Linked DNA regions of Callithrix jacchus. The protein of the gene in region 3 purifies or fractionates together with the protein of the main gene of each other region. This does not show direct contact. Links are inferred from orthologs where the notes say so. Each region holds a gene or a part of one and is shown on either strand. Other genes may lie near its edges. The genes, in order: LRPPRC, ATP1A1, ERBB2, SLC39A7, TFRC, VAPB and TIMM50.

Region 1 (3,500 bases), on a different chromosome or scaffold from region 3:
CTAGATATAAGAGACCGGAGCCATGGCTTGAAAGGACATTTGGCATGTATGATAAACCTATCACGGCTGTTACTATCATTCACTTTGCAGATTATCGTAAACAAACTACAGCAACCCGAAAACATGCCATTCAAGGTGTAGCTGAAATTAGTTAACCTTTCATTTAATTGCATTCTTTACAAGCCCACGTATAATGATCAATCGTAAAAATCACAAATATTATATTTGGTTTTTCTTATTGTTATCTATCAAGAATTTTTTACCTTAATAACATTTAAATATTTAAACCAATGTTACCTCTTCTGAACAAAGCACTAATATGAGTTGCTTTAGGACATCTTTTATAGGTTGATTTTCAGCTTTTAGTGTTTCAATCGTAGACTCCAATTTAGATGATGAAAGGTGCACAGTCTACAGAAAAGAAAAAAGGAAAGAAAAATTTACTGAAAAAGGAATCATACCCCTTTTGTCACTCCTCCCTTTAAATTGACTTTTCTTTCTACTTTCCTAAAAGTCATAAATGCTATCAGGGATATTAATTGGTAATTAATTAATACCATTGTTGGACTCCAGGGGTTTATGAAACACCTGAGATTATATGCAAATTTCTTAGATGTGCTGATTTTTCTGAGATGGGAAACAGGTTTTACCAACTTTTTTTTTTTCCGACAGTCTTGCTCTGTCACCCACAACGTATTAGAGGTATACAAGATGATAAAAATGTGAGGAATCACTGGTTTCACAAGTACACAATCCAGAATCCTCATTAAATATGGTTACTATACCATGTAGAATCTAGTTAAAAACCTACTTACTTTTCGAGAGCCTAAATTCTCATTGTCAACCAACATATGAGCATCCTAAAATTGAAATTTAAATTAGCACAGAATCAGAAAACACACGTAAAAATACATCCGCAAACATCAAAAGCAAATTGTCTCACTTCATATTACTATTTTTCATCTTTCCAAAATTTTAGACATTATTTTCATACTTCATTAATCATTGTAATTAATGTTTTACATATATTCAAGATTATTTAAATAAAATTTATGAACAATAAATGAAAGCTTTGCTTTAATGGCTGTCATTAAAATAAATTTTTTTTTTTTTGGCCAAAAGCATCATACTTAAAAAATATATAAAATTTTAACATGCTGTTATATATAAGTCAAACATTTGATTGCTATTTTACACACACCTTAATCAATTCAGGAACATGGTAGCTATCCAGAAGATTACGAATGCCTTTGTAGGTATTTTCAGGAATTTTTAAATTCTGTGAGAAGGGAAGGGAGGGAGAAAAAAAAAAAACCCTGAGTTTTAGACAACTGAACTGAAATTTGTCTAACAGAAATTATCTAAGACATAATTTAAGTCTCCAACTCTTGCATGTCATTGAGAAGTGGTCTGGTTGTACTTAAAAGCAGCAATTTCAAATCTAATAGATACATGTCAGGCAGGACAGGCATTATATAGCAAAAAATGAAATGGTACCATCTCCTTCAGCTGATGGAAGTATTGTCTCAAACGCTCCTCCTTGGCCTGTACCTCTGAGTCACTCATGCTGTCAATCAAGTTATAAAGAAAATAGCCAACAGCTTCTGTGGAAAAAAACAAGAGAAAGCATTCCACTAAAATTACTGAGACTGTCATGTTATCAAGATTAATTTATAAGAAATCATTTTGGTGTGAGATGTCACCCTGATGAGAGGCTCTGAAATGGCAACAATGATCACTGAGGCATAGAGATTATGTGGTTTGGGAGCACATATCTAACTGGTGAGTGAAAGGAATATTAATTATTTTCAGACCGAGTGACAGCTTTTCAGTACTAAATCTTACTTCAATCTATTTTTTTTAACCACTCTGTGACAGAAGTGGTCCTGCCCAAGGCCTTACCCCTTTCCTGTCCAAATCACAAGTAATAAAAATAAATAAATGTCTTGTACACATTTCTATACTATTTTTTTTTTGTGGACAATATTTAGGGAAGCACATAAAATTAGAAAAGATTGTTAAATGTTGAGTACAGAAAGTTAAATAATTTTAATAAGCAGATACAGTAATCTTGTGGAGAGCTGCCTATTAGCCAATGAAAAACCAAGATTAACAAAGATGTTTTGTAACAACAGTAATTTTCCTTTGCATTCAAGCATAAAATATATAGGGCCATGTTACAATAATACATAGGACAGAAATGTAAACTTTCAAGAAGGGTACCATCTTACAGAATACTACATATTCTAAGCTTCATTATATGAAAAATGAAAATCATTAAATGTCAAAACAATGTTTTTGGGGCAATAAATTATATTTGAAGTGGAAATCCACAAAAACCTTTCCTACATTTTATGTTTAAAATTAACTACACCTGCAAAACATTAAAAGCACATAAATACTAAGAATCACTGATTTTTAAGCCTATTTCCATAGGCTGCAGAAGAAACATTTCCCTAATATCCGAAAAGGAAAAGCTTCCCAACCCTGTCTTTAAAAAAACAATTATAACAAAACCAAACACTTCAGATCTCAAAATGTTGTAATCAATATAAAGATTAATAAACAAATGTTTTAAAATTTCACTTTTAAAAATAAAGTGTTTACTGATATAATTCTCCTAACCCATTATTACACAGAAGAATGGATTTGTGGATAAGTTACAATCATCGAAATTGAAACGCTACCCGTTGGTCCTGGAGGCTTCTGGCAATAACGTGGATCCTTGTACAACAATTCTGTTATCTGGTAAGACAGAAAATTCGTGCATTGCAGCAAGAGAAGCAAACAAGAACAAATACAATCTGAAATTGAATTCTTGAAATAATAAAACCTCTTCCCAGTAAGGTATTATTCTATATCACAGTAATTCAAAACCACCCCCACCCGAGAAGGCGATTGTTTTGTTTTTAAATAATAGGTTTGTCTTTTAAAAACAAAAACAAATCCATGTTGAAGGAAAACTGCAATGTTTTGTGAAATGTCACAAAGACTCAAAACTGATTTATAAATTGATACATAAACATCACTGAAAATGAATTGTTATAAATAGAAAATAGCTGATAGGAATTATTGACCAATATTATTCTTCATCATATGGATTTTGGTTTTGTTGACAATGCACTGGTTTCCACATTTTAAGTTTTACTGAAATGTAAAGTAAAATATCCTGAACTGCTAAATAATTTATATTTTTTAGATATTAATAGCAATTTCCATTCATCTTAATGAGACTAAAACAAAAGTGGTCTAAAGATCTAAAGTTTATTCACATGGATTATTTTTCTCCCCCAAATTTTATTTTAAGTTCAGGGGTACATGTGCAGGATGTGAGGTTTGTTACACAGGTAAACGTGCACCACGATGGTTTGCTGCACAGATCATCCCACCACCCAGGTATTAAGCCTAGCATCCATTAGCTATTCTCCTTGATCCTCCCTCTTCTACTGCTGGATTCTTATCAACTGAATTCACAAACACTGAAATGTATACACAACACT
Region 2 (3,500 bases), on a different chromosome or scaffold from region 3:
CCATTGCGCTGAAGCCTGGGCAACAAGAACTAAACTCCGTCTCAAAAAAAGAGAATAGAGAAGAATGTGGCTTGAAAGTGTTTTTCTTGACGCAGTTACTCTAAGGTCCAAGAGGAGGCCTCGACTTGACTCAGAACAACATGCCGCAGTGACTGTGCTCACTGTGCCAGGCAGTCTCCAGCCCCTTCACATGTATCATCTCACTTAAGTTTTTATTAGAGTCTTATAAAGTGTGCTCTCTCTGACCTATGCCCATTACTCAAATGCTGTGGGTCTATTTCCTTACTTGTAAAATGAGGTTAATAATGCCTAAAAAGGATTGTCATGAGAATTGAACAAGTTAATGAAATCACTGAATTTAGTGCCTAGCATGTAGATTAGCACTCAAATGCTTGGTAACGTGAGCACAGAATACAGATAAATAGATACTCTAGACAAAACTATTTTCTTTTGTTTAGCTTGGTATTTTGATAGTATAAAAATGATCCTAATTTTCCTCTCTTAATGAGAGCCTATATCTAATTGTCTGCTGTCAGTGGATCTTGGGTTTAAGGCCCATTAGAAAAACAGCAGGCTTTAGTAGAGTGGGTTTTTCGGGTGAACACCTTTCTGTCCCCAGGTTTCCTGGGAGTTGGCTAATGCACTTGGAGGTGAGCGCTTCCCTGCCAGACAAGCAAAGAATCAAGCTGTATATTTAAAACTTGGCTGTTAACCCAGCAGATTTCCACAGGAAGTTCTTTCTCCTTTGATGTTTGGAGAGGGTTTTTTTTCCCCTCTCCAATTGACAGAATCAATACACAGAAAACTCAAAGCTCTTAATTTGCAAAACGGAATGGTTTTGTGAAAATAGATATATTTTTGGTAGAAATACAATTTGGCATGAATCCATTGATCTAAAACTTCGAAGAAACCAGGCTGGATTCAAGTTTATTGATGGGTCAATTTGAAGAGTTTGAATCTGGGTGTTACGGTTTCCTTGGGAAATGTAGGCAATTGTTTGCCTGAACCCTGTTGGAGCTGGCTCGTCAGAGAACTATTCATGGAGGAATTTGCTAGGTTTTACCTTGGCTCTCCAGCTTGGGACATTTGGTTTCTTCCTTAAATCCTTGCTGCAGCTGTCCAGCTATCAGATAAGTATATTGGCTTGTAAATGCTCGTACGATTTGCCTTATTTATTTATATTCTTCTGCTTCTCAGGGCTTAACATCTGCTCGAGCAGCTGAGATCCTGGCGCGAGATGGTCCCAACGCCCTCACTCCCCCTCCCACTACTCCTGAATGGATCAAATTTTGTCGGCAGCTCTTTGGGGGGTTCTCAATGTTACTGTGGATTGGAGCAATTCTTTGTTTCTTGGCTTATAGCATCCAAGCTGCTACAGAAGAGGAACCTCAAAACGATAATGTGAGTTGTGTCATTCAGCGTGTGGATTTGTAGTACACATCAGGTTTCTTCTCTGTCTTGTCTCCCACTGATTCTCAATTACCACTCATTGCTTGATAGTTACGAACACTGGAGAATAGTGTCAGCAGCTGTTGCCTTCAAGACCCATCCTTTTTTTTTCCAGTTCCTCTTTCTACCACCCACGTGTAGATGCTCTTACAAGTGGGAAGCCCACCTGCATGTACTGCTGAGCAGGCAGCCCTGTCAGGCCCCTGCCGCCACCCACTGGATGGCAGAGCACAGCTTTTACTGTTGGCACAGTCACCTGTCTGGAAATGCTGGTGGCCATTCTTCAAAATCCACAAGTTGGTTGAAAAACATTTTGTTTCATAGATGGATCTAGAACATTTCCAAACGTCCAGTTAGTGATCAGGTGTTGGTGTGGCTGACTCCATTTCTGACCCTTCCTGTGTGGTCTCTGGAAGGATAAATAGGAAAACATGAGTTCCATATTTCTGAAACCTTGATTTCTCTATTGAAAAATCTGTTTTTTATTCAGTCAAAAAATGAATTGAATGTCCCTAATTCTTGCGTAGAGCCATCGGCCTTAACTTTTCTTTTCCCTTCCAGCTGTACCTGGGTGTGGTGCTATCAGCCGTTGTCATTATAACTGGTTGCTTCTCCTACTATCAGGAAGCTAAAAGTTCAAAGATTATGGAATCCTTCAAAAACATGGTCCCTCAGGTACCAGATGCTTTGTCCTTCTCCAAGCTTGTCAGCCTGTGACTTAGTGGGAATTTAAGGCTTTCCCAGTATTAATATGACTCCATCAGAGAGATGGATGTCTTCTAGCCCACCCAAAACCACCTCTTTTCCTTCTACCCCAAAAAAGTGGCAGCTTTTCTTTGGAAGGTAAACTCTGAATGCAGGCATACCATGTAACAGCAATCTCTCTTAAACTGGAAAGCAAGTTTTTGTAACCTGCATAAATAAAAGAGTGAATCATATCTTTGTTGTGTATTGAGATAATTAGGATTGTAGACCATTTTTAACTTGATTTTCTTGTTTTGGACATTACCCTCTCCTTGTTGGTATACTAACGGTATAAATGGTTTCCTTTCCAAAGCAAGCCCTTGTGATTCGAAATGGTGAGAAAATGAGCATAAATGCCGAGGAGGTTGTGGTTGGGGATCTGGTAGAAGTGAAAGGAGGAGACCGAATTCCTGCTGACCTCAGAATCATATCTGCAAATGGCTGCAAGGTGGATATTTTAACAAAGCTCATAGCTCTGCTGTTTGGGCAGTGCGAGTTGAGGGGGTACAGTACCCCATGATGAGGCTGATAGAGTCACATGACATTTTCCTTTCTTTCTCACATACAGGTGGATAACTCCTCACTCACTGGTGAATCAGAACCCCAGACGAGGTCTCCAGATTTCACAAATGAAAACCCCCTGGAGACTAGGAACATTGCCTTCTTTTCAACCAATTGTGTTGAAGGTAGGCCATTTTTTGGCACTTAGAACATGGTGTGGTATTTCTCTCGGGCATTAACATAAACAAAACCATAGGCACAATCTTGCGTTTTGTTGGCTCCATTTCTGACAACAGTGTCGAGCACAGAGCAGAGGTGTCTTCCATGCTGGCAGGAAACCTGGTGGCTATTTCCCTTCCCTCCACCCTGCCTCTTCTCTCAACACCACCAGCCTGGCATGGGTGTTGGAGCTGCTGTCCTGTGAATGGGTTGAAGTCCCTTTGACAAACAGCATATACAGCCAAAGAGCTGGCCCTTAAAGAGTGTGCTGTTGTCAGGTCAACTTTTTTTTTTTTTTTAAGCCATGCTATGTAATTGTGTAAAATCTGTGGCTTCTTTCAGGTTAGATAAAATTAGGTACAGTTCTCCCCCCCTTCTTTTAAAGGCACCGCACGTGGTATTGTTGTCTACACTGGGGATCGCACTGTGATGGGAAGAATTGCCACACTTGCTTCTGGGCTCGAAGGAGGCCAGACCCCCATTGCTGCAGAAATTGAACATTTTATCCACATCATCACGGGTGTGGCTGTGTTCCTGGGTGTGTCTTTCTTCATTCTTTCTCTCATCCTTGAGTACACCTGGCTTGA
Region 3 (3,147 bases):
CAGAATTCAATAAATTACATAGCCAGGCATGGTGGCTCACACCTGTAATCCCAGCACTTTGGGAGGCCAAAGTGGGAGGATCCCTTGAGGCCAGGAGCTCAAGACCAGCCTGGGCAACACAGTGAGACCCCACTTCTACAAAAAGTGAAAAAATTAGCCAAGTGTCATGGCACCTGTCTGTAGTCCCAGCTACTTGGGCAGCTGAGGTGGGAGGATTGCTTGAGCCTGGAGGTCAAGGCTGCAGTGAGCCATGATCTCGCTATTGCACTCAGCCTGGGCAACACAGCAAGGCCCTGCCTCAAAAACAAACAAACAAACAAATAAATAAATAAATAACATGAGCTATTTAACACTTTATTATAAAATAGGCTTTGTGTTAGATGGTCCTGCCCAACTGTCAGCTGCTGGCGGTGTAACTGTTCTGAGCATGTGTAAGTCAGGCTGAGTCTTGAATGCATTTTCAGTTTCAACTTACAATTGGTTTATCAGGATGCAGTCCCATGGTAAGTTGAGGAGCATGTGTATTAACAGTCTCTTTAGTGATTTTTACACTGTGAAGTGTGGAGCCCTAAGCCAGAGCCAAGGGCAAGAGCATAGAGAATGTGGAGATGTGGAGAGGGCTCTGATTGCCTGCAAGGAGTTTGAACTTTATTGTGGAGGCAGTGGGGAGCCAGGGCAGGTTTTAGAGTAGGAGAGGGTCCAAGTCTGTGGGTCACCCTTCTGACTTCCCTTTCTAAATGCCCAATACCTTCATGTCCCCCGTGGGCCCCTTCGTCCCTCCCACCCCAAACTGGCTTGCAATCTCTGACTCTGGCTCCTGTCCCCAGCCCTCTGACGTCCATCATCTCTGCGGTGGTGGGCATTCTGCTGTTCATGGTCTTGGGGCTGCTCCTTGGGATCCTCATGAAGCGACGGCAGCAGAAGATCCGGAAGTACACGATGCGGAGGCTGCTGCAGGAAACGGAGGTGAGGCAGCCTGAAGGCCTCCCAGCCCTCATGGGGTCTGCACTGGCTCTTGGCACTGACCCACCACCCCCTCATCCCAGCTGGTGGAGCCGCTGACACCGAGCGGAGCCATGCCCAACCAGGCACAGATGCGGATCCTGAAAGAGACCGAGCTGAGGAAGGTGAAGGTGCTTGGATCTGGAGCTTTTGGCACAGTCTATAAGGTCAGGGCCTGGGCCAGGTCCTGGGGTGGGCGGTCCCAGAGGATGGGGCCAGTGCCTGGAGGGGTGTCAAGATCTGGAGGCAGTGTTTGGGGGAGGGCTGTTATAGAAGGCAGCAGGGGGCCAACCCCCAGGGTGGAGAAGGAGGTTTGGAACACAAGTAATGATCTCCTGGAAGGTAGGCAGGATCCGCCCACGTTCTTCTCACTCATATCCTCCTCTTTCTGCCCAGGGAATCTGGATCCCTGATGGGGAGAACGTGAAAATTCCAGTGGCCATCAAAGTGTTGAGAGAAAACACATCCCCTAAAGCCAACAAAGAAATCTTAGACGTAAGCCCCTCCAACCTCTCCTGCTGGGAGGACAGGGAGGACCCCAGGGCTGCAGGTCTGGGCTCTGGTCTCTCTTCACTGGGGTTTGAGCAGATATGACTCCCTCAAACCTAGACTTTTTTTGGAGACAGAGTCTTGCTCTGTCACCCAGGCTGGAGTGCCGTGGCCCAATCTTGGCTCACTGCAATCTCTGCCTCTGGGGTTCAAGCAATTTTCATGCTTCATCGTCTTGAGTCGCTGGGATTATAAGCACCTGGCTAATTTTTGTATTTTTAGTAGAGATGGGGTTTCACCATGTTGTCCGGGCTGATACTTGGAGCCTTCATAGGCTGTGGGCCGTGGCTGTGGCTTGTGACGGTTGGGAGGCTGTGTGGTGGGTGGGGGTGTGTGGTCCCTGTACCCTCTCAGTGCATCCTTGTCCCCAGGAAGCGTATGTGATGGCTGGTGTGGGCTCCCCATATGTCTCCCGCCTCCTGGGCATCTGCCTGACATCCACAGTGCAACTGGTGACACAGCTCATGCCCTATGGCTGCCTCTTAGACCATGTCCGGGAACACCGAGGACGTCTGGGCTCCCAGGACCTGCTGAACTGGTGTGTGCAGATTGCCAAGGTATGCACTTAGGGCACCTGGGCTCTGTGCAGGTCACTTTGGAGCAAGCTCCTGTATCCACATGGGGCTAGGAGGGGGATGCTTGCTGGGCATGTGGCCAGGGCCAGGCCCTCCCAGATCTACACAGGTGCTTCCCATTCCAGGGGATGAGCTACCTGGAAGATGTGCGGCTCGTACACAGGGACTTGGCTGCCCGGAACGTGCTGGTCAAGAGTCCCAATCACGTCAAGATTACAGACTTCGGGCTAGCTCGGCTGCTGGACATTGATGAGACAGAATACCATGCAGATGGGGGCAAGGTTAGATGAGGGAGCAGGGGAGGCAGGGTGGAGTGGGTCTGGCCCCTGGGAGGACTCTGAGTGGCCGCCTCCCCACCACACCCAGTTGGAGGACTTCCTCTTCTGCCCCAGGTGCCCATCAAGTGGATGGCGTTGGAGTCCATTCTCCGCCGGCGGTTCACCCACCAGAGTGATGTGTGGAGTTACGGTGTGTGGTGGGGAGGGGTGGGTGAGGAGCCCTGCCTGGAGGGAGGATGAGAACTGGGATGGGGCCACGTCAGCATGTGGAGGGAGAGAAGCAGCTGCCTGTGCCCCACCTTGCAGGGTCTATGCACTAACCAGAATTAGAGAAAGACCGGGAGGCTCTGTCTCCTGACTTCACATCTTCCCCTGTTGCCGTGCTACGATCCTGGGCAGAACCTCTGGCTCAAGACACTAAAGCTCCCGCTGGCCCTCCCACCCCTGACTCTGTCTCTGCCTTAGGTGTGACTGTGTGGGAGCTGATGACTTTTGGGGCCAAACCTTATGATGGGATCCCAGCCCGGGAGATCCCTGACCTGCTGGAGAAGGGGGAGCGGCTGCCCCAGCCCCCCATCTGCACCATTGATGTCTACATGATCATGGTCAAATGTGCGTGGCTGAGCTCTGCTGGCTACTTGGAGGAGGGTTGGAGGTCCTGGGTGGAGGAACCCACAAGGGGCATGGGAGGGAACCAGGATGTATGTCGACCCAGGAGCTCTGGTATTTTAAAAGGAGCCTCA
Region 4 (4,029 bases), on a different chromosome or scaffold from region 3:
CACTAAAATTGGTATACAACCTCCCACTGCTATATTTGACTGGCTGAAAAAACAAAAAAACAAGGTACTCCTCATTGTGGTGAGAGGAGGGAGTTGACAAGGAGAGGAGGATAGCTCAGTTGAGAAACATCTTCCAAGCAATCCATTTGAATGAATACCAGGTCATCCCCAAGCCACACCTGTCTCGTGGGTGGGGCAGCACGTGGGGTACCCATCCAGCCCCTCTATTCCCAGCGTAAAGCTGGGTAGCCGGGGCGTACAGGGGAAAGAGGTGGGAGAGACCCCTCCTATAACGCAGAATCTGCCTTCAAACGTCCAAAGTCCTGAAGCTTAAGAGGAATCGTGCCCTTCCCACGCCCGCGACCTCCAGTGCCCCAGGCCTCAAGCGGTCAAGGCTAGGAGATCTGAAGCTCCCCTTCCCCGCCCCGCCCTGGGGGGAGGAGGGCGCTAAGGCCCTCGGGAGGGAAGGGACGCGTGTTTACAAACAAGGGGGCGGGAGCGCCAGGAAAAGAGCACTGGGGAGGGTGTGGGGGAGGGGGTTGCAGATAACGCGGTCACTGGCTTGCCTGCCCTTCCGCAGGGACACTCACCCCGCCCGCTGTCGCCCATCCCGTCCCGTCCGGCCTCCCCCGGCTCCGGTTCCGGGGTTTGTTGTTCTCCGCCTGCCGCCGCCGCCGCCGCCGCTGCGGGATCCAGCCAGGGCCGTCGCCGCCGCCACCGGGACGCGACCCCACAATGCATTTCTTTTCGCACCCCCACCGGCCCACACTGCCCTGCGGCATGCCGCTGAGGGAGGAAGGGCGGGCGAGCGGCCCAAGACATGATCCCTGGCTGAGAGTAGGGATATCGAAGAGGTGCCAGAGATTCCCAAGAGTTGATCGGAAGATTAGCTGAGCACGAGGAAGCACCTGAGAAAACGACTCTGGCCTGGATTGGGTGGAATTAAGCTTGTCGTTCTGCTCTGTACCAAAATGACAGCGCCAATGTGGCAGCCATCTTTGTACAGACGGGAAGTGTCGGCGCAAGTTCCCGCCCCCTCGTCTAGTTGGAAACCGAGGAGGCGGTCTCCTCCAGCCTGTTAGCCCGCCTTGCCCACCTTCCCCTCAAATAACCTCCAGGCTCGCGCATGCGCGTCAGCTCAGGGTGGCTTCGTCGCTACCGGAGTGCCGCCATATTGGTAAAGGCATTAGGGCGAAGGTGGAACGGAACTTCCTGTTCTCGCGGGAGCTAAAGGCGGGACTGCCACGTCCAAGCAAACGGGGAAAGGAGAGGATCCCGGAGCCGGTGAGAATTCTGTTTTTCCATTCTATCCCTTCCAGGCCATTCCCTCACCTAATGAGCCATAGAGACGAGGGCCCAGAGAGTCCGTAAAGTGGCTGGTCAAAGACTAGTGTCCCAGAGCCCTGCATCCGCGAGGGGGTTCGGCATAAAGAGAACTAGTCTTGGGAACTATGTAGGTGGAAACTTAAGGGAATGGGAGAGCGGCCCATAGAGGTGGACGGAGAGCGCGACTGGAGTAAAGAGGACCCTGTGTAGGTATAGAGTTAGTTGAGAGTCAAGTGGAGTCACTGTCTCTGTCCCTCTGGTCAGCGTGATGGCCAAAGGTCTGGGGGCCCCCCGCTGGGTGGCCGTGGGACTGCTGACCTGGGCAGCCTTGGGGCTTCTGGTGGCTGGACACGGGGGTTATGACGACCTGCACGACGATCTGCAAGAAGACTTCCATGGCCACAGCCACAGGCACTCACATGAAGATTTCCACCATGGACACAACCATGCCCACGGCCATGGCCACACTCACGAGAGCATCTGGCATGGACATACCCACGGTCACGACCATGGACATTCACATGAGGATTTACACCATGGCCATAGCCATGGCCACTCCCATGAGAACCTCTACCACAGAGGACATGGACATGACCATGACCATAGCCATGGAGGCTATGGGGAGTCTGGGGCTCTGGGCATCAAGCAGGACCTGGATGCTGTCACTCTCTGGGCTTATGTGAGTTTCCAGGGGATGGGAGAGAGAGGGGCTGGTTCTGGATTGTCGGGAAACTCCACAGTACTTGACCCTGATTCTCCCTCACCAGGCACTGGGGGCCACAGTGCTGATCTCAGCAGCTCCATTTTTTGTCCTCTTCCTTATCCCTGTGGAGTCAAACTCTCCCCGGCATCGCTCTCTACTTCAGATCTTGCTCAGTTTTGCTTCTGGTGGGCTCCTGGGAGACGCCTTCCTGCACCTCATTCCTCATGCTCTTGGTAAGTAACCTCTGACTTCTACCTCAAATCTAACGTATTTTGTTCTTTTAAGGGTTCTTTCTCCTTTCTGATTCCTGATCTTCCGATATTCCCCCAAATACACACCCTTTGGGTTAGATATTCCCTCATTTGGCTTCCCCCCCTTCTTCCAGAACCTCATTCTCACCACACTCTGGAGCAACCTGGACATGGACACTCCCACAGTGGTGAGGAAGAGACAGATGGGGACAGGAGTTGGGGTGCTGGGGAAGGTCCGTCTCTCCCTATTCCTCACCTCCTGCACTTAAGGAGGAGAAGTCTGGAATGCACATCTCCCTTAATGTCTCAATGCCTCTATTCCCAGGCCAGGGCCCCATTCTATCTGTGGGACTGTGGGTTCTCAGTGGAATTGTTGCCTTTCTGGTCGTGGAGAAATTCGTGAGACATGTGAAAGGAGGACATGGACACAGTCATGGACATGGACATGCTCATAGTCACACACGTGGAAGTCATGGACATGGAAGACAGGGTGAGCCCAGGAACAACTTTCCAAAAGCTGACTTGCCTGCCTCAGAATCGCCTCATCTTATGGCCCTCAGGAGGGAGAGGACATATTGGAAGATCTGTTCTCCACTCTGACCAACTCCTTTCTTCCCTCAGAGCGTTCTACCAAGGAGAAGCAGAGCTCAGAGGAAGAAGAAAAGGAAACGGGGGGTGTCCAGAAGAGGCGAGGAGGAAGCACAGTACCCAAAGATGGGCCAGTGAGACCTCAGAAGCCTGAAGAAGAAAAAAGAGGCTTAGGTAAGGGCCAGAGTTGGTGATAAATTTGGGCAAGGGACATCCTCACGAATCACATGGAATATGTGCTATGGGTAATGGAAGGTGTCTGGGAAACACTAAGGGACTGGGTGTGAAGTGGTCTCTGAGGGGAGATGTGAGGATAGCTGACCAAGACTGGAACAACTGGTGATGGAGGCCTCTGATCATTTTCTCTTCTTTTCCTGTACAAGACCTGCGTGTGTCAGGATACCTGAATCTGGCTGCTGACTTGGCACACAACTTCACTGATGGTCTGGCCATTGGGGCTTCCTTTCGAGGGGGTCGGGGACTAGGGATCCTGACCACAATGACTGTCCTGCTACATGAAGTGCCCCATGAGGTTGGAGACTTTGCCATCTTGGTCCAGTCTGGCTGCAGCAAAAAGCAGGTTGGTGATGTCTGCCGAACACTGCTGCCTCAAACCCTTTGTTTCTGCTCACTCACCTTAAACCCAAAACAGCCTCTTATTAGTTCCAAACAATTCATGCTATCATTGACAAGTCCCCTAGAAATGAGTGGGAAGAAGTTCTGGTTTCTTTTCTTTAGCTCAGTATTTCTTAAACTATGGTCTATAAACAATCTGAATGGTTTAGTGGAGTCTTACACACACACACCTACTCAATCAGAAAGTCTGTGGAAAGGATCTCTGATCTCTAAGATTTTTTTCAGAAATTGTCTATTCTAGACCCTCCCCCTTTTTACTTTGATGTTTAGTTTCCAAATCCATGTCCCTTACACCTATATCCCACCAGCTACTTCTAAACCCACTGATAATCTTTAGCTGTTGGTGAGTGTCTCTTTCTCTTTTCTGCCCATCAGGCAATGCGTCTGCAACTACTGACAGCAGTAGGGGCACTGGCAGGCACTGCCTGTGCCCTTCTCGCTGAAGGAGGAACAGTGGGCAGTGAAGTTGCAGGTGGTGCAGGTCCTGGCTGGGTCCTGCCATTTACTGCGGGTGGCTTTATCTAC
Region 5 (3,500 bases), on a different chromosome or scaffold from region 3:
TGTGCCACCATGCCTGGATAATTTTATATTTTTGGTAGAGACAGGGTTTCTCCGTGTTGGTCAGGCTGGTCTCGAACTCCTGACCTCAGGTGATACACCTGCCTCAGCCTCCCAAAGTGCTGGGATCGCAGCACTTGAATCCCAAGTAGGGTTCACTTGAATTACAAGTGGAGTTGCCAAGTGAGCCATTGCATCTAGCCTGTTTATTTAATTTTTAAGGGACTTTCTGGCAAAAACTAGAAAGGGTGCTAGACAAATTCTAAAAAGAGCTGTAATATTTGTCCTTAGAGTTTTGCTATCTTTGCACCATATATTTCTCTGTACAAAGAATAAATTTATCTTTTCCCTTTTGCTAGCTTTCTACAGTTACAATGGTACTATAACTCTTTTTTTTTTTTTAAAGATGGGGTTTTACCATAAAGGTCAGGCTGGTCTTGAACTCCTGACCTCAGGTGATCCACCCACCTCAGCCTCCCAAAGTGCTAGGATTACAGGCGTGAGCCACCACACCCAGCTTCGGTACTATAACTCTTTAGTCTTAAGTTAATGACATTTTTTACTTCATCTAGTTGATTTATTGTACACCAGAAATTATGGATAAAGTGAGAGGATAGTCTGACCTTACAAAAATGTAGGAACTAGTGCTGAGTAAGTAGAACTATGGGAGATCAGACCAAGATGCAGTCTTGCTTCAGGGTACTCAGAAATGCTTCACAGGTAGGCAAAAATTGATACTCCATCCTAGATAGCCTATAGTGGATCTCCTGGGAGCTACTGTTTCCCCGAAAACCACCCTAAGCAGATACATTATGTTAAGATGAGGCTCTTGAAGGGAGTGCTTTATGGTGAGCAAAGAAGCTTTGAAGTCGTAAACTAACATTTGGGGCATGGTTTTTTTTTCTTAGTTTCTGTTATTCTGGCAAATCTAGAAGTTTTGGGTCACAGTTCATTTATCTGATTTTGCTTTCAAAACAACTTGTTTAATCCCTGAGTTAAATGTTTATTTTAAATTAAATTAAAGTTCATGTAAAAGACATTTTCTCCTACAGGCTGCTGAATGAAAATTCCTATGTCCCTCGTGAGGCTGGATCTCAAAAAGATGAAAATCTTGCGTGGTATATTGAAAATCAATTTCGTGAATGTAAACTAAGCAAAGTCTGGCGTGATGAACATTTTATTAAGATTCAGGTCAAAGACAGGTATGTTGGAAGATAGTAAACTTATTTTTATACAAGTGGCTATTTTCAGGTGTGCAGAATATAGCAAAGACTTTTTTTTCGAGATGGAGTCTTGCTCTGTTGCCCAGGCTGGAGTGCAATGGCACCATCTTGGCTCGCCGCAACCTCTGCCTCCCAGGTTCAAGCGATTCTCCTGCCTCAGCCTCCAGAGCAGCTGGGATTATAGGTGTGTGCCACCACGCCCAGCTAATTTTTGTATTTTTAGTAGAAATGCGGTTTCACCATGTTGGCCAGGCTGGTCTCTAACTCTTGGCCTCAGACGATCCTCCCGCCTCGGCTTCCCAAGCTGAGATTATAGGCATGAGTCGCCCCATGTGGCCCAAAGGCTTTTTTATTTTTTATTTTTTTGAGACGAAGTCTCACTCTTGTCCTGCAGGCTGGGGGTGCAATGGTGCGATCTCAGCTCACTGCAACCTCCACTTTCCAAGTTCCAGTGATTCTCCTGCCTCAGCCTCCTGAGTAGCTGGGATTACAGGTGCCTGCTACCATGCCAGGCTAATTTTTGTATTTTTAGTAGAGACAGGGTTTCACCATGTTGTCCAGGCTGGTCTCAAACTCCTGACCTCAGGTGATCCGCCTGCCTTGGCCTCTCAAAGTGCTGGGATTACAGGCGTGAGCCACCATGCACAGCCGGCCCAAAGACTTTTAAAATAAAAATTAGTGTTAAGATTTGGAGGTAAATTTCCTCAAGCAAAATGATGTAATAAGACATGCTAAAAATATAAGCTATTGCATTTTTCTGGAAGGATGACCTTAGCCTTATTTTAACTTAATCTTTTTAACAGTGCTCAAAACTCAGTGACCATAACTGGTACAAACAGTGAATTTGTTTATCTGGTGGAGAATCCTGGAGGTTACGTGGCGTATAGTCAGAACGCAACAGTCACTGTGAGTAAGGCAAACCGTTCATGAGGTTGAATCATTCAAAAACTCATCTTTTCTGTTCTTTGGAGTTATAAATGTACTTGTAAAATGTAAATGATCCTGATAGTTTGGTTTTCAACCCTCTAATGACACAGCCAACATGCAAAGTCTTCTCTCTAATCACTTTCCTCTTACCCTGCTTTATCTTTTTCTTTCTTTGTAGTACTGGTAGCACCTGACATTATGCCTTTGTTTCCATTAGAATGTGAGCCATATGGAGAACCATGAGTTTGTTCTATTTACTGCCACGTTGCAGAGCTTTGGAGAATGGCCGACATACATAGTAGTGCTTGCTATATGAATGCATATCCTCTTTGTGGGGGCAGTTCTAAGTATCCATCGTGGCTGGGGCCTAGTCATAGCTGGATTCTTAGCTCAATCTTTTTTTATTTGTTTTGAGATAGAGTGTCACTCTGTCGCCCAAGCTAGAGTGCAGTGGCATGAGCTTGGCTCACTGCAACTTCCGCCTCCCGGGCTCAAGTGAGCCTCCCGAGTAGCTGGCACATCCAGCTAATTTTTTCCTTTTTTTTCTTTTTGGTAGAGATGGGGTTTTGCCATGTTGGCCAGGCTGGTCTTGAATTGAAACGCCTGGGCTCAAGCGTTTCACCCACCTTGGCCTCCCAAAGTGCTGGGATTACAGGAGTAAGCTGCTGTGCCCAGCCCTTGGTCTTTTTAAATTTAGGCAAATACAGTCAAATTAACGCAGAAATAGAGAACAGTTAGATGGAATAATTTTCAGCTTAAAATCACATTTGTGGCTGTGTGCGGCAGCTCATGCCCGTGATCCCGGCACCTTGGGAGGCTGAGGCTGGCGGATCACTTGAGGTCAGAAGTCAGAGACTAGCCTAGCCAACATGGTGAAACCCCGTCTCTACTAAAAACACAAAAATTAGCCAGGTGTGGTGGCGTGTGCCTGTAATCCCAGCTACTCAGGAGGCTTAGGCAGGCAGGAGAATCACTTGAACCCCAGCGGGGCGGAGGTTGCAGTGAGCTGAGATTGTGGCGTTGCACTCCAGCCTGGGCAACAAGAGCAAAACTCCATCTCAAAACAACAACAGCAAAACACATTTGTAAGTCAGGTACATGTTTAGTGGATACCTTTAGAGGCAGGTGAAGTGCTATGGTGATTCCTTGCTTTTCTGGATACTTGTGCCTTATCACTTTGCCTGGCTGCATACAAGCCAGGAGATGGGTAGATCGTTCTGTTAAACAACATTGAAGATATTTGTTCAACTTCAAGCTCTCTTGTCAGGTGCTTGGTCATTAGTGTCAGGTGATAGCTGTTCATCTGAACTGTTATTAGCTTTGGAGCATAATGACATATCTAAAGTTGGTGTA
Region 6 (3,939 bases), about 66 Mb from region 3:
CAGGACAAATAGAAATAACAAAATAAAATGGTAGAAATAATTCCAGATATGTTAGTAAATATAATAAATGTAAATGGACTAAATGCTCCAGGTAAAATACAAAGATTATTCTTTTAAGAAATCTTTTTGTCATGACACATTTCAAGTATACAGAAAAGTGGGAGGAACAGTACAAGAAAATTACATGCCTGTGACGTAGAGTCAGCCATTGTTAGCTATTTGCCATGTTTGTTTCACCTCTATAGGTATGTATAGGAGACTATTAAGAACACCTATTTTACTTCCACAGCATACATAATATAATGAAATACAATTTAAATGGTAATCCTGATGTAGAGCATCCACTTTTAGGTCAAGCAGATCTGGATTTCCCATCAATTTTTAATTATTTAACTTACTTGTGTGGTTACGTATTCAACAGATGTCTCTTCACTAGGCTATTGTAAGAGGGTTGGAATCAGGTTAGCTTTTCTGATCATTGAACAAATTTCTAAATATTTGTTGCATAAACAAATCTAATTAGTAAAGAATTCAGCACAGTGCCAGTTGCATAGTAAACATTTAATGTAGAGCAGCTTGTATTTATTGTAGTTGCTGTTGTTATTGAAAGCATTCAGCAGAGTAGCACAACATATAAAGGCAATAATTGGTAGTTTATTATATTTATAATTATTATTTACAAGATGTCACAGTGCCTAGCACATCACTCAGTCATAAACATCATGTTTATACTAAGTACTTTTACTATTATTCAAAGTTTCTAACAGTGCCTGGCACTACATAAGCAAGAGAAAAGTGGAAGTTTATTCTTACCAATTGCTACTATTGAATAAAGCACTTAAGACGAGGCTGGCCCCCATTGGTCCCTTAATAGTTTTCGCCATGGCTATCATAGTAGCTGGACTACAGACCCCGCCTCCTGAGCTGCGCGAGGCCCCGCCCCTTGCTGCTCCGCAGTCCCGCCCCTGTGGCTTCTGCCGCGCCTGCGCACTGTCCCGGGAGGGGCTCCACGCGCGCAGCTTTCGTCCCCGCCCCTGGAGCCGGCTGCGCAGGGCGCAGCTTCCCGCCGTCCGAGCGGGCTAGCCTGCTGCGTGCGTGCGTGCGTGTGTACGTCTCTGCGTGCGTGCGTGCGTGCGTCCGTGCGTGCCGTCAGCTCGCCGGGCACCGCGGCCTCGCCCTCGCCCTCCGCCCCTGCGCCTGCACCGCGTAGACTGACCCCCCCCCGCTCCGCGCGCTCACCCCGTCGACAACCCCTCCCGTGCCCCGACTGGCCTCCGCCTTTTTGTAAAACTAAAAGCGGGCGCAGCATTAACGCTTCCCGCCCCGGTGACCTCTCAGGGGTCTCCCCGCCAAAGGTGCTCCGCCGCTGAGGAACATGGCGAAGGTGGAGCAGGTCCTGAGCCTCGAGCCGCAGCACGAGCTCAAATTCCGAGGTAAGCCCCGGAGGCCGCCACCTTCTGGCCCGCGGCCCCCGCCCCAGTGCTGAAGGGACTGAGTCGGGCGCGGCGGGTGACGTCGGCCCTCGTCCCCACCCTGACGGCGCAGTCGCGGGGGGCGGCGGGGCCCGGTTGGGCCGTGGCGCTCGCGGCACGCCGCAGAACTGCCTGGAGCTGCCGCGACCCGAGACGGCCCGAGAGGTCTGGTGCCAGAGCCGGGGCTTGCGCCGCCTCCCCGACCCTCAGCCTCCCGGGACCTGCCTTCGAGGCACTTGTCACATTGCCTTGTAACTTACTGACGAGTTTGTGGTCTTCTGTAGTGTGAGCCTCCGCCGTTGCCTGGAAGGTTCTTCCCCTGCTCTGTGACAGTGTTGACCTCAAGGCTTAGCTGAGATGTCACCTGTTCAGAGAGGCCTGCTGTGACCAGCCAGTCCACCGTGCACACCTGCTGTCGTTCCCCATTCCGTCACCCAGTTTCGTGGTCAACGCGGCACTTTTCATGCCCAGAATCACTGTTTCAACACTAGAAAGGAAACTCCATGAGGACAGGCTCTTGTCAGTTCGCTACTGTATACCTAGCACACATTAGATGCCTAGTAAATACCTGTTGAGCCAACAAATGAACCTCCTAAGGACTTCCGATGGGATCGAACCCACTTTACTTTCGCTGCCTCCCTCATGCTGTCTCCTGGGTGCTGCTGAGGGAGGCTGCCAGGGTGCTGGGATCCTTTTTCTTGGCAGAGCCTGGAGCAACACCTGAGTTGGTGGGAAGCCATGACCGTGGTTTCTCCCAGATGCCGTTATCTTTGTCATTTGTGCCTTTATGTTTTCTATGTTGTTGTTTTTGTTTTTTTTCCTACCTTCACCAGGACCACGAGGCAAAATGTTCTTGTCTGACTTGCTCATTCCTTCTTTTTTATGTGCATCCAGTAATGTGGAAAGCACTGCGGAGGTAGATGATGGATGAACAAGACAGACAAGGCCTCTGCTCTAGTAGAACTTACCTTCCGACGAGGGCAGAAAAACCAGCACACAAGATCATTGCAGATAGTGCTAAGTGCTGTGTAGGAAATGGAACAGTCTGACTCCATGAAAGTGTATTTTAGATGGGAAGGCAAGGTTACCACTATATCGCTAGCACCAAGCTCACAGTAGATGCTCAGTTGGTAGGTATGAATGAATGAATGGCCAGAGACTCTCCAGTTTATGTGTCCTGGTGGGAAGTAGTGTAGGGTAACTTACCCAAAGTTACCCAGTTGGCAAATGGTACATTTGAACCCAGATGTCAGAGTTCACACTCATAACCATTATGCTATCTGATCTCTGGGAAATACTCCAGAACTGTGGCTGTCACTTTGCCTTCCATGTTAGCAATGTGAAATAACTGAATTTACAGAGAACCAAAGGTTTTCCAACTAAAATGAAGAAAACAAAAAACCCCACAAAAACCTGGATCCTAATTCCCGGATAGTACTTGAGCTTTCCTGATGTTCTCCTGGCTTTCTGCAGAAGCCAGACTGGACAGCGAGTCCAGGTAGCTAAAGTGAATGTGGTGAGCCATGGTTTCCACTTGAGTTGTCTGAAGTTCTGGCTTCTCCCGTGCATTGGCGTGTTCTTTCAGTTAGTCCAGAAACATTTAGTGAATACCTGATCTGTGTGTCAGATACCGGGAGAAGCCAAGTCATATCAGTTGTACTCTCCCATTTTCCCCTCAGCCTCCTCCCAGTAGTTTAGGGAATGGGGGCAGATGAGAATAACAACCAGGACAGGTCAGTGATGTAGGGTAATCCAGAGTGCTCTGGGAGCATTGAGAAGGTCAGCTTCTGAAAGAGGTGTCATTTGAGCTCAGTTAAAAAGTTGAAGTAGAAAAAGTTTCAAAGAAGGAAAGGCGGGGGGGCGGGGATGTTTCAGGCAGAGGAAATTGTATGCACTGAGGCACAAACACTTGACTGGCTCCTTTGGGATGACACTAGTAGGTTTTGTTTTGTTTTGTTTTGTTTTGTTTTGTTTTGAGATAGAGGTCTCGCTGTCACCCAAGCTGGAGTGCAGAGCACCATGTCCCTGCAACCTCTGCCTCCCAGGTTCAAGTGATTCTCCTGCCTCAGCCTCTTGAGTAACTGGGATTACATACAGGCCTGTGCCACCACCCCTGGCTAAATTTTGTATTTTTAGTAGAGATTGGGTTTCAACATGTTGGCCAGGCTGGTCTCAGACTCCGGACCTCAAGTGATCCGCCCTCCTTGGCCTCCCAAAGTGTTGGGATTACAGGTGTGAGCCATCGCGCCTGGCCACCACTAGTAGTTCTGAATGACAGCAACAAAGAACATTTTTTGTGGTTGCCTGGTAAGAAGGGAGACAAGGCTGGTAAGTAGACAAGAGTCAGATCTTCTCAGTCCCTTTATGCATAGATGCACCCAGTGTCCAAGTTACAATTATGTTGATTCTTCTTGAGCAGTTCTTTCTTGCATTAACTCCCTGAAACCCCAAATCCCAGTACAAACTC
Region 7 (4,010 bases), on a different chromosome or scaffold from region 3:
GCTACTCGGGAGGCTGAGGCAGGAGAATTGCTTGAACCCAGGAGGCGGAGGTTGCGGTGAGCCGAGATCGAGCCATTGCACTCCAGCCTGGGTAACAAGAGCGAAACTCCGTCTCAAAAAAAGAAAAAACAAAACATTTAAGGCCGAGCGTGATGGCTCACACCTGTAATCTCAGCAGTTTGAGAGGCCGAGGTGGGGCAGATTATTTGAGTTGAGTTTGAGACTATACTGACCAACAGGGTGATACCCTGTCTCTACTAAAAATACAAAAAAATTGGCCGGGTATGGTGGCAGGCTCCTGTAGTCCAGCTACTTGGGAGGCCGAGGCAGGAGAATTTTTGTATTTTTTAGTAGAGATGGGGTTTCACCATGTTAGCCAGGCTGGTCTGGAACTCCTGACCTCAGGTGATCCACCCGCTTCGGCCTCCCAAAGTGCTGGGATTACAGGCGTGAGCCCCTGCGCAGCCCCTGCGCCAGCCTTAATTTTAATTTTTATTTATTTTGAGAGAGCCTCCTGTTGCCCAGGCTGGAGTGCAGTGCCGCAATCTAGGCTCCTTGCAACCTCTGCCTCTCCTGCCTCAGCCTCCCCAGTAGGTGGGACTAGAGGGGCGCCCCATAACTCCTGGCTAATTTTTATTTTTTTAGTAGAGACGGGGATTTCGTCATGTTGGCCAGGCTGGTCTTGAACTCCTGACCTCAGATGATCCGCTGCCTTGGCCTCCCAAAGTGCTGGGGTTACAGGTGTGAGCCACCGCGCCTGGCCAGAAGGTTTTGAGGACTGGCTTTTCAGGTCGCTTTCTAAGCCCCAGTTTCCATTTTTGACAATTGGGAGGCGAAGGCCGATGCCCTTACACGTGAGACAAGCGACCTGACTCCTGACTTTTTTTGGGACAAATCAGGCAGCCAATGATTCCCTTCATTATGGCCTCTGCTTTACCTCTAGGCAATCTGACCACTTCCCTTGCTGCATCCTTTGCCTCGGCGGTGGCGCTCCGCACGGCCCAAGTTGGGCGTGGTCCAGATGACTTTGGATCCCAGTTGGTGCCCCCAGGGACATCAAACAGAATCGTTGGGGCAAACGTGCCTGCGGCAATCCGCCCGAAGCCTTTGGTCTATTTCGGGCTTCCGTCCGCCCGCCCCTCCTCTGCGTTCCCATTGGCTGTAGCTCCGGCCCGGGGCGGGAATAAAGGGAGCAAGTGGGTGGGGCCGCGTGGCGTCAGCGCAAGATGGCGACCTCGGTAGCTCTGTTATCGCGCTTGCGGAGCGGGCTCCGGCTAGGCTTGCGGGGACTGTGCACGAGGTTGGCGACGCCGCCCCCCCGGGCTCCGGATCAGGTGAGCGGAACGAGGGTGGCGCTCTGAATGTGGGGTCCCCTCCCTGGAGTTACGGACATATCGCCGCGGCTTGGAGGTTCTGGGACGCCGCACCTCAGGGTGCTGAATAAAACGTCGCTTGGGTTTTGGGCCCCTTCCCAGCCTCCTGGGTGAATAGCACTTGCTCCCCTGGCCTGGAGGCTGGGGGCCCAGGTGTGTCCTCCAGATCCCACCTCCCACCCACGTGGGCGCCGGAGGAGGAGGGGGTTACCTGTTTCCCATCTCAGTGACCACTCAGGTGATTATTTGAGCAGGAGGGGAGTGGGACGCTGGAGTCCCAGCCTGGCCTTGGGAGTTATTTTTACTCCCAAGGTGGTGGTGGTGGTGGTGAGGGTGGTGAGGTAGACGTTTGGATTTCCAATTCGACCTGCCTCCATGTTGTCAGAGACCCAGCCATTCTGACCTCCAAGTCTATCACTTCTGTGTCCTAGTTCCCCAAGCCCCAGACAAGTGATTGCCTCTCGCCGCCTCTGCTCCCATCCCTTACCCTGTACTCTGCTACCTTTTAGCCCCAAGCAGCCAGATGTCATAACTCCCGGTCCTGTCTGCCCCTTCCCGCCCTCCCACCCCTCCCCCTTGTGCCCTGCGTTCCTTCACATCCCAGAGTTTAGGCCTTCCCATCCCTTATTCTCCCTGATCTGCTTTTCCGGGCTCCACACCCTCTAGTCGTGTTGTCTGCAGGATCCTGTGCACCTGGCCTGTTGGCTCTTAAAACTCTTGGCATCCTGGCGCTGGACAGTCTGGTTTTGACCCTCTGAGCAGCCCCACTTCCTGACTGCCCCTCCAGGGACACAGACGTCCAGGCTCTGTGGGTGTCTGCCTCTTGACTCCTGAACTTGATTCTTCTTGGACTGGAATGCTGGAACGATCAGCTCTTCTCTCTTGACCTCCCCTTTCTCAACCGCAGGTCGCTGAGATCGGGAGCCGCGGGGGCACTCAGGCACAGGGGCCACAGCAGCAGCCGGGCTCAGAGGGTCCCAGCTATGCCAAAAAAGTTGCTCTCTGGCTTGCTGGACTGCTTGGAGCTGGTGGGACCGTGAGCGTCGTCTATATCTTTGGTGAGGGACATATCGCTGCCCCCTAGTTTTATTCCTTGCCTCCCTCGTCCGCTGTGGAACCTCTCACTCTTACCCACTCAAACCTCTCCATCTTAATTCCCTGGCTCTCCTCCATAGGGCAGCCAAGTAGGACACCTACCTTTGAAAACCAGGGAATTCTTCTCCCTTCTACCTCTTAAGGTTCTAGTCTTTCTAGTTGGTTCCTGTACCAGGATAGAGGAAAGAGGGGAAGATGGGGAAGGATAGGCGTAGATCAGCTTCCTAAACTTTGTCTTTCCTCAGCACCCAAAAATCCAGCCTTCCCACTAGTTCCTTTATCCCTCAGACTCAAGAGACACAGACCCAGCCCCCTTTCTCTCAAAGACCCAGGAATCTTGGCTCCCAGCCCCCTCCTGGCTTGAATCCAGAAGGCTGTGCCTCTAACTCTCTTCCCTCAGATCCAGGAGTCCAGGCCTCCTATCCCACTCCTCCCTCAGGACCTAGGAGACTGCACCCCAATTCCTCATATTCATCCTGGTTTCCCTTGCAGGAAACAACTCTGTGGACGAAAAAGGTGCCAAGGTGAGGGGAAAAGAGACTGAGGCCTTGCCAGGAGTCCTAGCCTGTGGGTGAGAGGGGTCCCCTTTGGTTTGTTGAGGCTCATTGCTGGTCTGGAGTGAGCCTTTCTTTCCTAAGGACCTTTGCTTATTCCTCTTGGGGTCCTGGAGATTCCTTTTATGGGTGTGATGAGGTTCTGCCTCTGACATCCTAAACCTTCCATTTTTCTCTCTACCTCCCAGATTCCTGATGAATTCGACAATGGTGAGTAAACAAGCACAGATTCTGGAGTCCCCGACCCTCTCAGCTCTGTCATTTGTAAGGATGTGTCTTTCCCCATCTGGTGTCTCTGGCCCCTCCTCCTTCCATTGGGGAGGTTGGGGAGCCAGCAGCTGGATAGCTTTGTGGGGAGGGACTTTACAAAGCCCAAGCCCACTTCCCTGGCCCCTCAGCCCTGAGCAGATGGTCAGGGACAGATGGGGGTGGGGAGCCTTGGGTGGGAGGGCCTGGGGACACAGGGTGGCCTATCTCCAGACACGTGGGTTCCTGTGCCTTAGACTGAGCATCTGCAGCTCCCAACTCTTTACCCAACCCCCCCAAGCCCCTACTCCATTAGTCTCATTTTCAAAACAATGCCTCCTTCCTCCCACCCCATCTGGTTAACCAGCTTTTGGTGCTGAAATTTCTGACAAATTGGATAGTAGAGTAGTTGTCAGTCTTGTCAAATGAAATTGGTGGATCCAGAAAGCCACCTGTTTATGTGGGGACATTTGCAAACAGTCATGTTAATACAGTCTTTCACACTGGGCAGGTGAGTGAGTGCTGGTTTGACTGGGCAGATTAGAATCTTGCTAGCTTCAACAAATCACTATGCTGATTTAACTTGGGCAGGAAAACCTGGAGGTTTAAAGTGTATATGTTTACTAGTCTAACTGCTTTCGATATTGTGGGGTTTTTTTGTTTTTGTTTTTGTTTTTGACAGAGTCTTGCTCTGTCACCCAGGCTGGAGTGCAGTGGCGCAATTTTGGCTCACCGCAACCTC

The links.
Region 1: the proteins of ERBB2 (region 3) and LRPPRC purify together in Homo sapiens (affinity purification with mass spectrometry; 3 studies listed by BioGRID and IntAct, with this or other methods). This does not show direct contact. The link is inferred for Callithrix jacchus from reciprocal best matches to the Homo sapiens genes ERBB2 and LRPPRC.
Region 2: the proteins of ERBB2 (region 3) and ATP1A1 purify together in Homo sapiens (affinity purification with mass spectrometry; 4 studies listed by BioGRID and IntAct, with this or other methods). This does not show direct contact. The link is inferred for Callithrix jacchus from reciprocal best matches to the Homo sapiens genes ERBB2 and ATP1A1.
Region 4: the proteins of ERBB2 (region 3) and SLC39A7 purify together in Homo sapiens (affinity purification with mass spectrometry; 3 studies listed by BioGRID and IntAct, with this or other methods). This does not show direct contact. The link is inferred for Callithrix jacchus from reciprocal best matches to the Homo sapiens genes ERBB2 and SLC39A7.
Region 5: the proteins of ERBB2 (region 3) and TFRC purify together in Homo sapiens (affinity purification with mass spectrometry; 3 studies listed by BioGRID and IntAct, with this or other methods). This does not show direct contact. The link is inferred for Callithrix jacchus from reciprocal best matches to the Homo sapiens genes ERBB2 and TFRC.
Region 6: the proteins of ERBB2 (region 3) and VAPB purify together in Homo sapiens (affinity purification with mass spectrometry; 3 studies listed by BioGRID and IntAct, with this or other methods). This does not show direct contact. The link is inferred for Callithrix jacchus from reciprocal best matches to the Homo sapiens genes ERBB2 and VAPB.
Region 7: the proteins of ERBB2 (region 3) and TIMM50 purify together in Homo sapiens (affinity purification with mass spectrometry; 3 studies listed by BioGRID and IntAct, with this or other methods). This does not show direct contact. The link is inferred for Callithrix jacchus from reciprocal best matches to the Homo sapiens genes ERBB2 and TIMM50.

The regions. Positions count from the first base shown.
Region 1 is NC_133515.1:70,893,038-70,896,537, reverse strand, and holds part of LRPPRC (leucine-rich PPR motif-containing protein, mitochondrial), read right to left. Parts: intron 2,746-3,500; coding exon 2,688-2,745; intron 1,605-2,687; coding exon 1,498-1,604; intron 1,280-1,497; coding exon 1,202-1,279; intron 861-1,201; coding exon 816-860; intron 412-815; coding exon 298-411; intron 1-297. UniProt on the Homo sapiens protein: May play a role in RNA metabolism in both nuclei and mitochondria. In the nucleus binds to HNRPA1-associated poly(A) mRNAs and is part of nmRNP complexes at late stages of mRNA maturation which are possibly associated with nuclear mRNA export.
Region 2 is NC_133508.1:154,391,555-154,395,054, forward strand, and holds part of ATP1A1 (sodium/potassium-transporting ATPase subunit alpha-1), read left to right. Parts: intron 1-1,197; coding exon 1,198-1,401; intron 1,402-2,010; coding exon 2,011-2,124; intron 2,125-2,506; coding exon 2,507-2,641; intron 2,642-2,761; coding exon 2,762-2,879; intron 2,880-3,298; coding exon 3,299-3,500. UniProt on the Homo sapiens protein: This is the catalytic component of the active enzyme, which catalyzes the hydrolysis of ATP coupled with the exchange of sodium and potassium ions across the plasma membrane.
Region 3 is NC_133506.1:120,185,185-120,188,331, forward strand, and holds part of ERBB2 (receptor tyrosine-protein kinase erbB-2), read left to right. Parts: intron 1-827; coding exon 828-966; intron 967-1,046; coding exon 1,047-1,169; intron 1,170-1,398; coding exon 1,399-1,497; intron 1,498-1,922; coding exon 1,923-2,108; intron 2,109-2,251; coding exon 2,252-2,407; intron 2,408-2,518; coding exon 2,519-2,594; intron 2,595-2,869; coding exon 2,870-3,016; intron 3,017-3,147. UniProt on the Homo sapiens protein: Protein tyrosine kinase that is part of several cell surface receptor complexes, but that apparently needs a coreceptor for ligand binding. Essential component of a neuregulin-receptor complex, although neuregulins do not interact with it alone.
Region 4 is NC_133505.1:41,442,358-41,446,386, forward strand, and holds the start of SLC39A7 (zinc transporter SLC39A7), read left to right. Parts: upstream 1-1,229; 5' UTR 1,230-1,284; intron 1,285-1,590; 5' UTR 1,591-1,594; coding exon 1,595-2,005; intron 2,006-2,093; coding exon 2,094-2,262; intron 2,263-2,414; coding exon 2,415-2,468; intron 2,469-2,605; coding exon 2,606-2,770; intron 2,771-2,901; coding exon 2,902-3,042; intron 3,043-3,251; coding exon 3,252-3,448; intron 3,449-3,879; coding exon 3,880-4,029. Other genes in the region: RXRB (retinoic acid receptor RXR-beta), read right to left, coding at 591-822. UniProt on the Homo sapiens protein: Transports Zn(2+) from the endoplasmic reticulum (ER)/Golgi apparatus to the cytosol, playing an essential role in the regulation of cytosolic zinc levels.
Region 5 is NC_133518.1:80,935,807-80,939,306, forward strand, and holds part of TFRC (transferrin receptor protein 1), read left to right. Parts: intron 1-217; exon of another isoform or gene 218-280; intron 281-1,049; coding exon 1,050-1,199; intron 1,200-2,023; coding exon 2,024-2,126; intron 2,127-3,500. UniProt on the Homo sapiens protein: Cellular uptake of iron occurs via receptor-mediated endocytosis of ligand-occupied transferrin receptor into specialized endosomes. Endosomal acidification leads to iron release.
Region 6 is NC_133506.1:53,978,811-53,982,749, forward strand, and holds the start of VAPB (vesicle-associated membrane protein-associated protein B/C), read left to right. Parts: upstream 1-1,139; 5' UTR 1,140-1,375; coding exon 1,376-1,433; intron 1,434-3,939. UniProt on the Homo sapiens protein: Endoplasmic reticulum (ER)-anchored protein that mediates the formation of contact sites between the ER and endosomes via interaction with FFAT motif-containing proteins such as STARD3 or WDR44.
Region 7 is NC_133523.1:34,962,618-34,966,627, forward strand, and holds the start of TIMM50 (mitochondrial import inner membrane translocase subunit TIM50), read left to right. Parts: upstream 1-1,210; 5' UTR 1,211-1,226; coding exon 1,227-1,334; intron 1,335-2,280; coding exon 2,281-2,431; intron 2,432-2,960; coding exon 2,961-2,992; intron 2,993-3,210; coding exon 3,211-3,232; intron 3,233-4,010. UniProt on the Homo sapiens protein: Essential component of the TIM23 complex, a complex that mediates the translocation of transit peptide-containing proteins across the mitochondrial inner membrane. Has some phosphatase activity in vitro; however such activity may not be relevant in vivo.